Arabidopsis thaliana: one gene and its partner. Each later gene encodes a partner of the first gene's protein in a complex. Each region holds a gene or a part of one and is shown in the gene's direction. Other genes may lie near its edges.

The links. Proteins that work in one complex are often made in the same cells at the same time.
Region 2: the proteins of HSL1 (region 1) and IDL1 are in contact, whole or in part, in a crystal structure (PDB 7OGO), measured with the Arabidopsis thaliana proteins. Residues at the interface, in NP_174166.1 of Arabidopsis thaliana: Tyr92 (codon at 2,240), Asn93 (codon at 2,243), Gln117 (codon at 2,315), Thr140 (codon at 2,384), Gly141 (codon at 2,387), Val164 (codon at 2,456), Tyr165 (codon at 2,459), Tyr189 (codon at 2,531), Trp211 (codon at 2,597), Asp233 (codon at 2,663), Asp235 (codon at 2,669), Gln257 (codon at 2,735), Glu259 (codon at 2,741), Tyr261 (codon at 2,747), Leu281 (codon at 2,807), Leu282 (codon at 2,810), Asp283 (codon at 2,813), Ser285 (codon at 2,819), Met286 (codon at 2,822), Ser304 (codon at 2,876), Asn306 (codon at 2,882), Tyr308 (codon at 2,888), Glu309 (codon at 2,891), Glu328 (codon at 2,948), Arg330 (codon at 2,954), Phe332 (codon at 2,960), Asp354 (codon at 3,026), Ser356 (codon at 3,032), Glu376 (codon at 3,092), Leu378 (codon at 3,098); in NP_566774.1 of Arabidopsis thaliana: Val66 (codon at 2,839), Leu67 (codon at 2,842), Val68 (codon at 2,845), Pro69 (codon at 2,848), Pro70 (codon at 2,851), Ser71 (codon at 2,854), Gly72 (codon at 2,857), Pro73 (codon at 2,860), Ser74 (codon at 2,863), Met75 (codon at 2,866), Arg76 (codon at 2,869), His77 (codon at 2,872), Asn78 (codon at 2,875).

Annotation. Positions count from the first base shown.
Region 1 is NC_003070.9:9,994,948-10,002,011, forward strand, and holds HSL1 (HAESA-like 1), read left to right. Parts: upstream 1-1,765; 5' UTR 1,766-1,966; coding exon 1,967-4,553; intron 4,554-4,820; coding exon 4,821-5,224; 3' UTR 5,225-5,508; downstream 5,509-7,064.
Region 2 is NC_003074.8:9,336,660-9,340,612, reverse strand, and holds IDL1 (inflorescence deficient in abscission (IDA)-like 1), read left to right. Parts: upstream 1-2,537; 5' UTR 2,538-2,643; coding exon 2,644-2,904; 3' UTR 2,905-3,182; downstream 3,183-3,953. Other genes in the region: AT3G25660 (Amidase family protein), read left to right, coding at 1-63, 149-224, 302-379, 468-611, 693-806, 887-973. UniProt on the Arabidopsis thaliana protein: Involved in an ethylene-independent separation step of floral abscission. May act with RLK5 and HSL2 as ligand-receptor pairs.

The DNA of each region.
Region 1 (7,064 bases):
CATAAGACAGAGATTTGTAGCTATTGTAGTGTACGTAATTTCTTAAATGTCTATCTTATAGGATACAAGTGTCGAACTCCGTTTAGTGTACCCTAATTTTTTTTTGACAACTTGTATTGTGTGTTTCACAGAAACTATTAGAAACACGAAGAAGAGAAGACTGCTTGGAATCAATCTATCTCCAAAATTTCACTCATCTATCTCTTTAAATATCATTCAAATGGTATGTTGATTAAAGTGATGCTTTTCTCAACCGATACATATGTTAGAACATACGTTTTCTAACTAACATATATGTAGGCAAAATTTGTGTTGTTCTTTTATGAGTTTATTATTTTGTTAAATTAAGATTAACTAAAATAAAATCAAATTCCAACTGATAAACTAAGATTGAGATTATGATAGTAAACGTAACAATTCTCATAATGTAACGGGCATGAAATCCAAATCGTAAGAAAATAAAAACAAAAATAGATAACAATTTTTTTTAACTGGATTCAACAATGTATTCACGTCCTCAAAAACAAAATTCTTGAACACAAGTACAGTTAGTGCAACTCTTTTTCACATCCTACAAAATAATTTACGATTTCGTTTAGCCGTAACAACTTATGAAAACCAAGTTGTGAGAATAAGAACAAAGTGTACACACAGTTTGTTTTTCACAATACATTATTTTACGTCTTCCAATTTTGTTGCATATCAACCTAAAATTTAAAAACCATAAAGAACTCTTATTCGACTCGAATACTTTTTTAAGACTATGACATCTCTAAGATAAGCAATACTCATGACTCTCGCTTGAGAAGTGCATTCTCATATTGACTACACCATTAGGCAATATGTTTCCTAACGTTTAACCATACAAGTTTGTCCCCCTCTTTCCCTTTGCAATACTAATTAGTATAACAAATTTCATTAGAGAATGTTTAATTTCATAAATATCTCAATATTTTGATATCTTATCCTATCTTCCATATTTTCTTTGCATTTTTTGTAAATAACTACATATTATTATCTTCAAAAATGAATTTCACATTTCAACAAAATAAAATATTTTCATGTTTCTACATGCATGCTAGTTTATTCTCTTAATAGTTGATACAATATTCCTAATACTCTTTAAGACGTGCATAAACTTTTTAAAATTGAATGATAATTAATTTAATTCACATCGACTTTAGACTACGTTCCAAGTAAACTTCCAACACATTCTGTTTTTTTTTTTTTTGATATGTTCTAACAATATTTGTACTTTACTACTTTACAAACGCCGATAATAAATAAAACTGTCGGAATATATCTCATTCCATCTCCAAAAAAAAAAAAAAAAAAAAATCAGATATCTACATTTCAAAATTAATGTTTACCGTACCTTCTTTTCACCTTGCAATTTTTTTAAAATGCACATTTACTCTACTAACTAACTTTTCATTTACATTAAAAACATATATAATGAAATCAAATTTGTATGCAAATTCCATATATATTATAAAGCTAAAATTATTTAATTGAAAATTTACAATCTTATCGTCTCCTACATAACTAATTTAAAAACAGTTGCATTCTCTTAAACAACAAAGTACAAAAAAAGAATGTTTCCTTCCATATGGCTATTTAGCTAGATCATCATTATTAGTAACATTCTCTTTTATAATCAGATAAACACAGGATAATTATACAATGTTGGAAACTCGACATAGATACTAATAATTGCAAACAAATAATTAGAGAGAATCGTTATAGAAAACAAAAACAAAATAAATGATAGTAGAAAAACAAATGATTTTTATAGCATTCACAGTCAGAGTCACGATAATTCACCTGTCTCCGGTCAACGCTTTTTATAGACTCTCTTCTTCTCTTCCTTCAAAGCACTCTCTCACAAACACTCTCTTCTTCATACTCTCTTATCTCTCTCTCTTTCTTCAACCACCGTCATAGATACCGGGGAAGACGAAGAAACATGTATCTTCTCTTTCTCTTCTTACTTTTCCCCACCGTCTTCTCTCTTAACCAAGACGGTTTCATTCTTCAACAAGTCAAGCTCTCGTTAGACGACCCAGACTCATATCTCTCTTCCTGGAACTCCAACGATGCTTCTCCTTGTCGGTGGTCCGGCGTTTCCTGCGCCGGTGATTTCTCCTCCGTCACTTCCGTAGACCTCTCCAGCGCTAATCTCGCCGGACCTTTTCCTTCAGTCATTTGTCGTCTCTCTAATCTGGCTCATCTCTCTTTGTACAATAACTCCATCAACTCTACTCTTCCTCTCAACATCGCTGCTTGTAAGAGTCTTCAAACTCTCGATCTCTCTCAGAATCTACTCACCGGTGAGCTTCCACAAACTCTTGCCGATATTCCGACTTTGGTTCACTTAGATTTGACCGGTAACAACTTTTCCGGTGACATTCCGGCGAGTTTCGGCAAATTCGAAAACCTAGAGGTTCTTTCTCTTGTTTACAATCTCTTAGACGGTACGATTCCTCCGTTTCTCGGCAACATCAGCACGTTGAAGATGCTGAATCTTTCGTATAACCCCTTTAGTCCGAGTCGGATCCCGCCGGAGTTCGGGAACTTGACGAATCTCGAGGTTATGTGGCTCACTGAGTGTCATTTAGTCGGACAGATCCCTGACTCGCTGGGTCAACTCAGTAAACTCGTTGATTTAGACCTTGCGCTCAACGACCTTGTAGGTCATATTCCTCCTTCGCTCGGTGGTTTGACTAACGTCGTTCAGATTGAGCTGTACAACAACTCGTTGACCGGAGAGATTCCACCGGAGCTCGGGAATTTGAAATCGTTGAGACTTCTCGACGCGTCGATGAATCAGTTAACCGGGAAAATACCGGACGAGCTTTGCCGTGTGCCGTTGGAGAGTTTGAATCTCTACGAGAACAATCTAGAAGGTGAGCTTCCGGCGAGTATAGCGTTATCTCCGAACTTGTACGAGATTAGAATATTCGGAAACCGGTTAACCGGTGGATTACCAAAAGACCTCGGTCTAAACTCGCCGTTGAGATGGTTGGATGTTTCGGAAAACGAATTTTCCGGCGACTTACCGGCGGATCTGTGTGCGAAAGGAGAGCTAGAGGAGTTGTTGATTATACACAATTCCTTCTCCGGCGTTATACCGGAGAGTCTCGCCGATTGCAGGAGCTTGACACGTATCCGGTTAGCTTATAACCGGTTTTCCGGTTCAGTTCCTACAGGTTTCTGGGGATTGCCTCATGTTAACTTGCTTGAGCTCGTCAACAACTCGTTCTCCGGTGAAATTTCGAAGTCCATTGGAGGTGCTTCAAATCTCTCGCTGTTGATTCTCTCCAACAATGAATTCACCGGATCTTTGCCGGAGGAAATTGGTTCTTTGGATAATCTTAATCAGTTGTCGGCAAGTGGGAACAAGTTCAGTGGCTCGTTGCCTGATAGCTTGATGAGTCTTGGAGAATTAGGTACTCTTGATCTTCATGGTAATCAGTTTTCAGGAGAGTTAACTTCTGGAATCAAATCTTGGAAGAAGCTCAACGAGTTAAACTTAGCCGATAACGAATTCACCGGTAAAATTCCAGATGAAATCGGGAGTTTGTCAGTATTGAACTATCTTGATCTTTCTGGTAACATGTTCTCTGGCAAGATCCCGGTTTCATTGCAGAGTTTGAAGCTAAACCAGCTGAATCTGTCTTATAACCGGTTATCGGGTGACTTACCGCCTTCTTTAGCGAAAGATATGTATAAGAATAGCTTCATTGGGAACCCGGGATTGTGTGGGGATATCAAGGGATTGTGTGGCTCTGAGAATGAAGCTAAGAAGAGAGGCTATGTATGGCTTCTTAGATCGATTTTCGTACTTGCTGCGATGGTGCTTCTTGCGGGTGTTGCTTGGTTCTACTTCAAGTACAGGACTTTCAAGAAAGCAAGAGCCATGGAGAGATCTAAGTGGACTCTAATGTCGTTCCACAAACTCGGGTTCAGTGAGCATGAGATTCTTGAAAGCTTGGATGAAGATAATGTGATTGGAGCTGGAGCTTCAGGTAAAGTTTACAAGGTTGTACTCACCAATGGGGAAACTGTTGCGGTTAAGCGTTTATGGACAGGTTCTGTTAAGGAAACTGGAGATTGTGATCCAGAGAAAGGTTACAAACCTGGAGTTCAAGATGAGGCTTTTGAAGCTGAAGTTGAGACATTGGGTAAGATTAGGCATAAGAACATTGTGAAGCTATGGTGTTGCTGTTCTACAAGAGACTGCAAGCTCTTGGTTTATGAGTACATGCCTAATGGTAGTTTGGGAGATTTGCTTCATAGCAGTAAAGGAGGAATGTTGGGATGGCAAACGAGGTTTAAGATTATCTTAGATGCGGCTGAGGGGCTTTCGTATCTTCACCATGATTCTGTTCCTCCGATTGTGCATAGAGATATTAAGTCAAACAATATTTTGATCGATGGAGATTATGGTGCAAGAGTTGCTGATTTTGGTGTGGCTAAAGCTGTCGACTTGACCGGAAAAGCTCCTAAATCGATGTCAGTGATCGCTGGTTCATGCGGTTATATCGCACCAGGTTAGTCTTATGATTCAAGTTAAATGTGCTTTGTTTAATCAACAGTTTTGCTTAAGGTAATAATGCTCATTTGGTACATGTTGCACGGAGATTCAGATGAACCACATTTAAGTTTTATTAGTTGAGACTTAAATGAGCATTCACTATCTATTGAGACATGTCTGAAACCATGGCTCCACAACTTCTCACTTGTCCATTAATGGAATTTGAAACTTTTTGTTTGTTTGTCTGTTTCCCTCCATAACTTTCATTTCAAACTTCTTGCAGAATACGCATATACGCTTCGTGTGAACGAGAAAAGCGACATCTACAGTTTCGGGGTAGTGATCCTTGAGATAGTAACTAGGAAACGCCCGGTTGATCCAGAACTTGGGGAGAAGGATTTGGTGAAGTGGGTTTGCTCTACATTGGACCAAAAAGGCATAGAGCATGTGATAGACCCGAAACTCGACTCTTGTTTCAAAGAAGAGATAAGCAAAATCCTCAACGTTGGACTCCTCTGCACGAGTCCGTTGCCCATTAACCGACCTTCCATGAGGCGTGTGGTTAAGATGTTGCAAGAAATTGGTGGTGGAGACGAAGATAGCCTACACAAGATAAGAGATGACAAGGATGGCAAGTTAACACCTTATTACAACGAAGACACCTCAGACCAAGGAAGTATAGCTTGAGACACAAATGGAGAAAGAAAAGTGTTTTGCCCAAAAAAGCTCTCTCAATTTTTGGTGCTTGAAGCTGTCAATTTAGGGCATTGAATCAAGATTCTCTCACCCCTTTTTAGGGTTTTGATCTAAAAGTGAGAATCAGAGATTGTCGAAATTTTTATAATATATATAAAGAAGTTTCTAATTCAGCGTTTCAGTTTCTCCACTGTATAAAGCTATTAGTAAACTCTGGTTTTGTAAGAGTTTTTATCTTTGGTAAATGCAAATGAAAAAGTTGCGATCTTTCTGGCGTTAACATGCATTTAAATAGTTTCCATATTTGGGTAAACAGATTCAAGGTTCGTGTAGGAACATGTCTATCTGAATCTTTTAAAGCATTAGGCTCTCTCTCTCTCTCTCGTTTTTAGTGAACTCTTGGAGGCTCGTGTACAGTTTGATGTCACTGTAGATTCACATGTCTCTTAAATTCTCAACTTTTTCAAACCAACTTTTCTATTATTATTTATAATTTCAGGTTGTGTTATTTCCTTTACTTACTCTCTCCGTACACGAGCATGAACATCAGACTTGGCACATGAAATGACTAATATCAACCTTCCTGCGAAAAGATCTCTAACTTTTAGTTACTTGTGTGAAGTCTAGTATCTATAATAAACAACGTATGTTTTTTTGACAGTCATTCTTTAAAACATGATATTCTTGGAGTTCGAGAACTATTTGTAAGAAAGATATAATTCCAAAAAGAGAAAAAGAATTAGTTAAGTCATGTAAATCGACCGGTAGTGATTAGGTAAACGTTTAACTTCCTAATTGCAATTAAGTAACGACATTAAAAACTAAAGAGATAACTTCTATTATTGTTGAGTATAAAACAAATCCAAAACAAAAACATTGACATCTCAACATTAGCTAAGCTTTATCATCTAACTAGAGAATTTTACATTAAGGTTACATAAATAGGGTGAGAATCTAAATATGAGCTGTTGGGTGAGGAAATTAAAAGTGGGTCCAATAAGCATTGAAGCCAGCCCACATTGTTATCATTCAATTCAAGGGACATAGACACCTCACCTTCATCTTTTGCCTTGTCTCTCTGTCTCTTTCACTCTCTAAATCATTTCTCAATTTTGTTTTCTTTGTTTTTGCATTTCCTTTTTGTTTATTTTTTTCAACTTGTTGCATGATGAGGTTTCATAGAGATTCCACATAACATGTTTGTATTTGCTAGAACAAGTACACTCTTTTTTTATTCTATTTTGATAGTTGTGTGAAGTTTCTTTTATATGTGATGCAACTTTGTTCTAGTAATTTTGGTATAGTAGTCTTGCTAGTGGTTGGTATGATATGAGTAAGATAGTTCGTGGGTAGCATAATTATTTATAAGAAACAAAGAATTATAATGGAAAGCATAGTAGGGACTAAGGGACCAAAGTTCAATAGATAAGGTCAGGATTGCGAAATGATCATGTACATCATTAATACATATGAGAGTAATTGAGTGTTATTGTGACCCACACCACACGGTACACACTCACACCTTAGGGGTCATATGGCTTTTAAATGGGCCTATCGGACCCACATTGTTTTCCACATTTTTGAATAAGTCTTACATATCGACTCTACTCTCTCTATTCTCAAATTTGTCAAAGGCCCATTAAAAAAACTAGGAAAGACAAAAGACGATTTTGGTATATGTTTTTTTATATTTTTTTGTAAAGATAATATATGTTGTAAACAAATAACTTGCCAAGCTTCTAAAGAACTTGTAAAATGTTTGAAAACTTACTAAAAACCTTTCTGAAAAACCTTTGTAACGAATATGACACATTTGATAAGGAAGTAGGAA
Region 2 (3,953 bases), on another chromosome or scaffold:
AGCTTACTACGTTATTGCCTCATCGGAGTCATCTTCGAATTTATCACGTTATGATGGTGTCAGGTAATCTCGGTATTATGACTTGACTCACAATATGAGTGCATCATGGATATAGAAAATGATATTGTTTCTTGTATTGGAAATGAAGATATGGTAATCAAGTTATGGCTGAAGAACTCAATAAGCTGTATGAATGTTCCCGTGGAGAAGGATTTGGAGGAGAGGTATGATTTCAGAATTTACTCCATCTGATTTAATCAACAAATGCTTGATTATAATCAATGACAATTTTGATTTCAAGGTGAAAATGAGAATTTTAATGGGGACATATGCACTTTCTGCGGGTTACTACGATGCTTACTACAAGCGAGCTCAACAGGTAAGCCGCATCTTCAAATGCAGTCAATAGAAATAGAACCTGTTTTGATAGATAAATGTATGCTCTTTTTGTTTGGTTGTTAATACAGGTGAGGACACTAATTCGAAAAGACTTCAAAGCAGCGTTAGAACAGAACGATATCCTTATTTCTCCGGCAGCTCCATCTGCTGCATACAAGATTGGTGAAAAGAAAGATGATCCACTGGCAATGTATGCTGGAGACATTATGACGGTAAAAATCTTTCGTAGTTTCTTTCTCTATTTAATCGTTGTTACACGAAACATAGTTTGTATCATATGAGGTTTGTTGCAGGTCAATGTGAATCTTGCCGGACTTCCTGCAATGGTATTACCTTGTGGATTAGTCGAAGGTGGTCCCTCGGGTCTTCCTGTTGGTCTTCAAATGATCGGAGCAGCGTTTGATGAGGTTTGTTATAAACTCTGTCTCTTTGCTTACTCTAAAAGATTAGATTAAGATTCACATGATGATTTGTTGATTGGTTTTAGGAGAAATTGCTGAAAGTGGGTCACATATTTGAGCAGACTCTTAAAGGATCGAGCTTTGTTCCTCCATTGTTAGCCAATGTAGCCTAACCATGTAACCACCAAGGCTCTTTTTGCGTTTACATTTCATGCTTGGTTTAAGCAACGGATTTATCAATTGTAATTGTACTTCAATTCTTTTATAATATAAATGTAGATACACCCCATGGGCCACATACGTATTCTTTCTTCTTCTTCTTCTTGGTCTCTATGCTCTTATTTGGTACTCCTAAATGGGGATGGTTTTTTTCTTTTATTCGTTTTTGATTTATTGGTCCTTGGCCCTTGCCATTGCATTCATGCACTTGATTATTGTTGAGTATCATGATTGATTAACACAATTTTTAAATATGTATATTTTGTTATAAATCTTGAGTAAATAAACTAAAAAATTGTATCAACTGAAAAGAAGTCCTTGCCATTGCATTCATGCACATGATTATTATTAATTATGGTTGTATCATGATTGATTAACACAATATTTAAATTTGTATATTTTGTTATAAATCTTGAGTAAGTAAACTTAAAATTTGTCCACTAGTACCAACACAAATCTTAATAAATGGTCAAAAGCATTACACGTTTCAAATAGATTATTGGCATTTTATAAAATGAAACTCTGGTGCTAGAGTATAAGTATAGACTACTTTAAAATTTCTAGAATAATTCTGAAGAAATCATATGTTATTACCTATAATTATGCAAACATATTAAAATCTCAGAAATCTAGTGGTCCAGACGAATATCTGTCTCCAGTGGACGATCAAAATCCAACGGATCATGCGTGTGCATGGTTTGACATTTACGTCTACTCCGTGAAAGTTGTCACATGAATATATAAACACATTAACCTATGAAAAGAGATTTTTGTTGGACGAAATGTTATGTTAGTTGTTATAACAGAACAAAATTATGTGCTGATAAATAATTTAAATATTAGGTGCCACAAATAATTTGCAGGTGAATAATTAACTATTAAATATGATAAATTAATTGTTTGGTAACCCCTAATAACGGAAATAATTTCTTTAAACAAAACTTGTTTATTTGGCCTATGGACTATACATGGTGGTTAGCTTCAAACTATTTACGCAAGTCCTTCTCAAGAGATCATGTTAAAAAGCTACAAGAAAAAGGAAAATAGAATTTACTTTTCTTTCAAAATCGAAGACCAAATGATTTGATAGTCATTGGCACCTAACTTTGGACTAAACAATCACGTACGCATTGTTCTTTTGTTCACACATAATGTGTATATAATATACAAAGTCTACAACAACGTGATTCTCTTACAAAAATTTAAATTTTACACACATAATTGATGATGAAATTATATTTTACACAATATAATACCAATAATGTTTGATAATTAAATTTTGACAGACAACTAGAGGTAATCACACGTACGTACACCATCGTCCAACGCGGCATTTCAAGTCTTTTATTCACTATCGTAGTATCGTTGACCTTTTAATATTATCACAAAATACTAACATTCCATTACTTGCGCTTCACTTCTTTATTTTTCTTTTGCTTTTCTTGTTTGACCAATCATACAAGAATGTGCATACTTTCATACATGATATATCATATATATACACGCTCATATATACATCTCAAAACTTAAACCGCCTTCTTAAAATCCAAAATTTATAAAACCCTAGCTAATAGCTAAATTAGTGTCTCCTCCTCCTTATTCTTCTTCTTTCTCCGAACATTATATGAATCTTTCTCATAAAACCATGTTTATGACTCTTTATATTGTTTTCCTCTTGATTTTTGGTTCATACAACGCCACGGCAAGGATCGGACCGATTAAGCTTTCTGAAACGGAAATAGTTCAAACAAGATCAAGACAAGAGATCATTGGGGGTTTTACATTCAAAGGTCGTGTGTTCCATTCATTTTCTAAAAGGGTACTTGTACCACCTTCGGGACCTTCCATGAGACATAATTCTGTGGTGAATAATCTCAAACACTAACTGTTTTTTTTTTCTTTTGGTTTAATTTCAATCTCTTAGGATTTGCTTCAAAAATTTTTTGACAATTACATGAAATTGTATTTCGAAAAGATTCTTAAAGTTGTATTTAATGAGTTCATTCACATTTGTAATATCTCGGTTGGAACGTTATACGTATGTATATAGACTATATCTTTCATTATTTGTTATGGGAACAAAAATTCAAATTGATAATGAACAAGACAATTTCTATTCACAAGCTATGGAATTTGCGAATTGTAGAAATCTCTCAGCAGTAATATAGATCCATTGGGATTGCATAAGTGAACTGCATGAGCCCATTTGCGGCCTGCGTCTATTCGTATGAGATGGGCTTCTTTAAGTTTGGCCTAATAATAATAAAAATTCAAAGAATTCACCAGACAGCTCCTCGTAGTGAGCTTCTCAGCCAAATCTCGCTCAACACTCATCATCTTCATGCATGTACTCTACATCCTCACTCATCAGTTGACTCAAAATCAAATAATCAAATCACTAGAAGCAAGTTTGGAATCAGTTACCCTTCAAAGTGAAACGCTTCTCATCAAACCTTCTGATGATTTCAGGGATCTGAAACACCAAAACATTTATGTAATCTTTATCAACCAAAGCAATGAACAACACATGAGAACCAAAGCAATGAACAACACATGAGGACCAAAACATATACGTAATCATGTTGGAGTCTGCTACAAATAGCTTTACAGGGAAGAAACAAAGCATGAATTAGTACATTGACTCTTTTGGATCAAAATGGATGGTACATATCTTGTGATTTATAATTTTTAGCTTGTTACAATCGTCATTGCATAGAACTTATATGAGTATTATGGATTGATCTTATATTTAAACATAAAAATATTTTTATACAAATAAATACTTTATAAGTTTCCAAGATATAAATTTGATATTTTATATAGATATATAAATATAAAATTTTACAAATAAATATCTTTCTCTTTTGCGGATCCAATAAAAGGGGTTAATCCCAACAAACTAGTTAAGTTAGAATTTGCGTTATTTTCCTTATT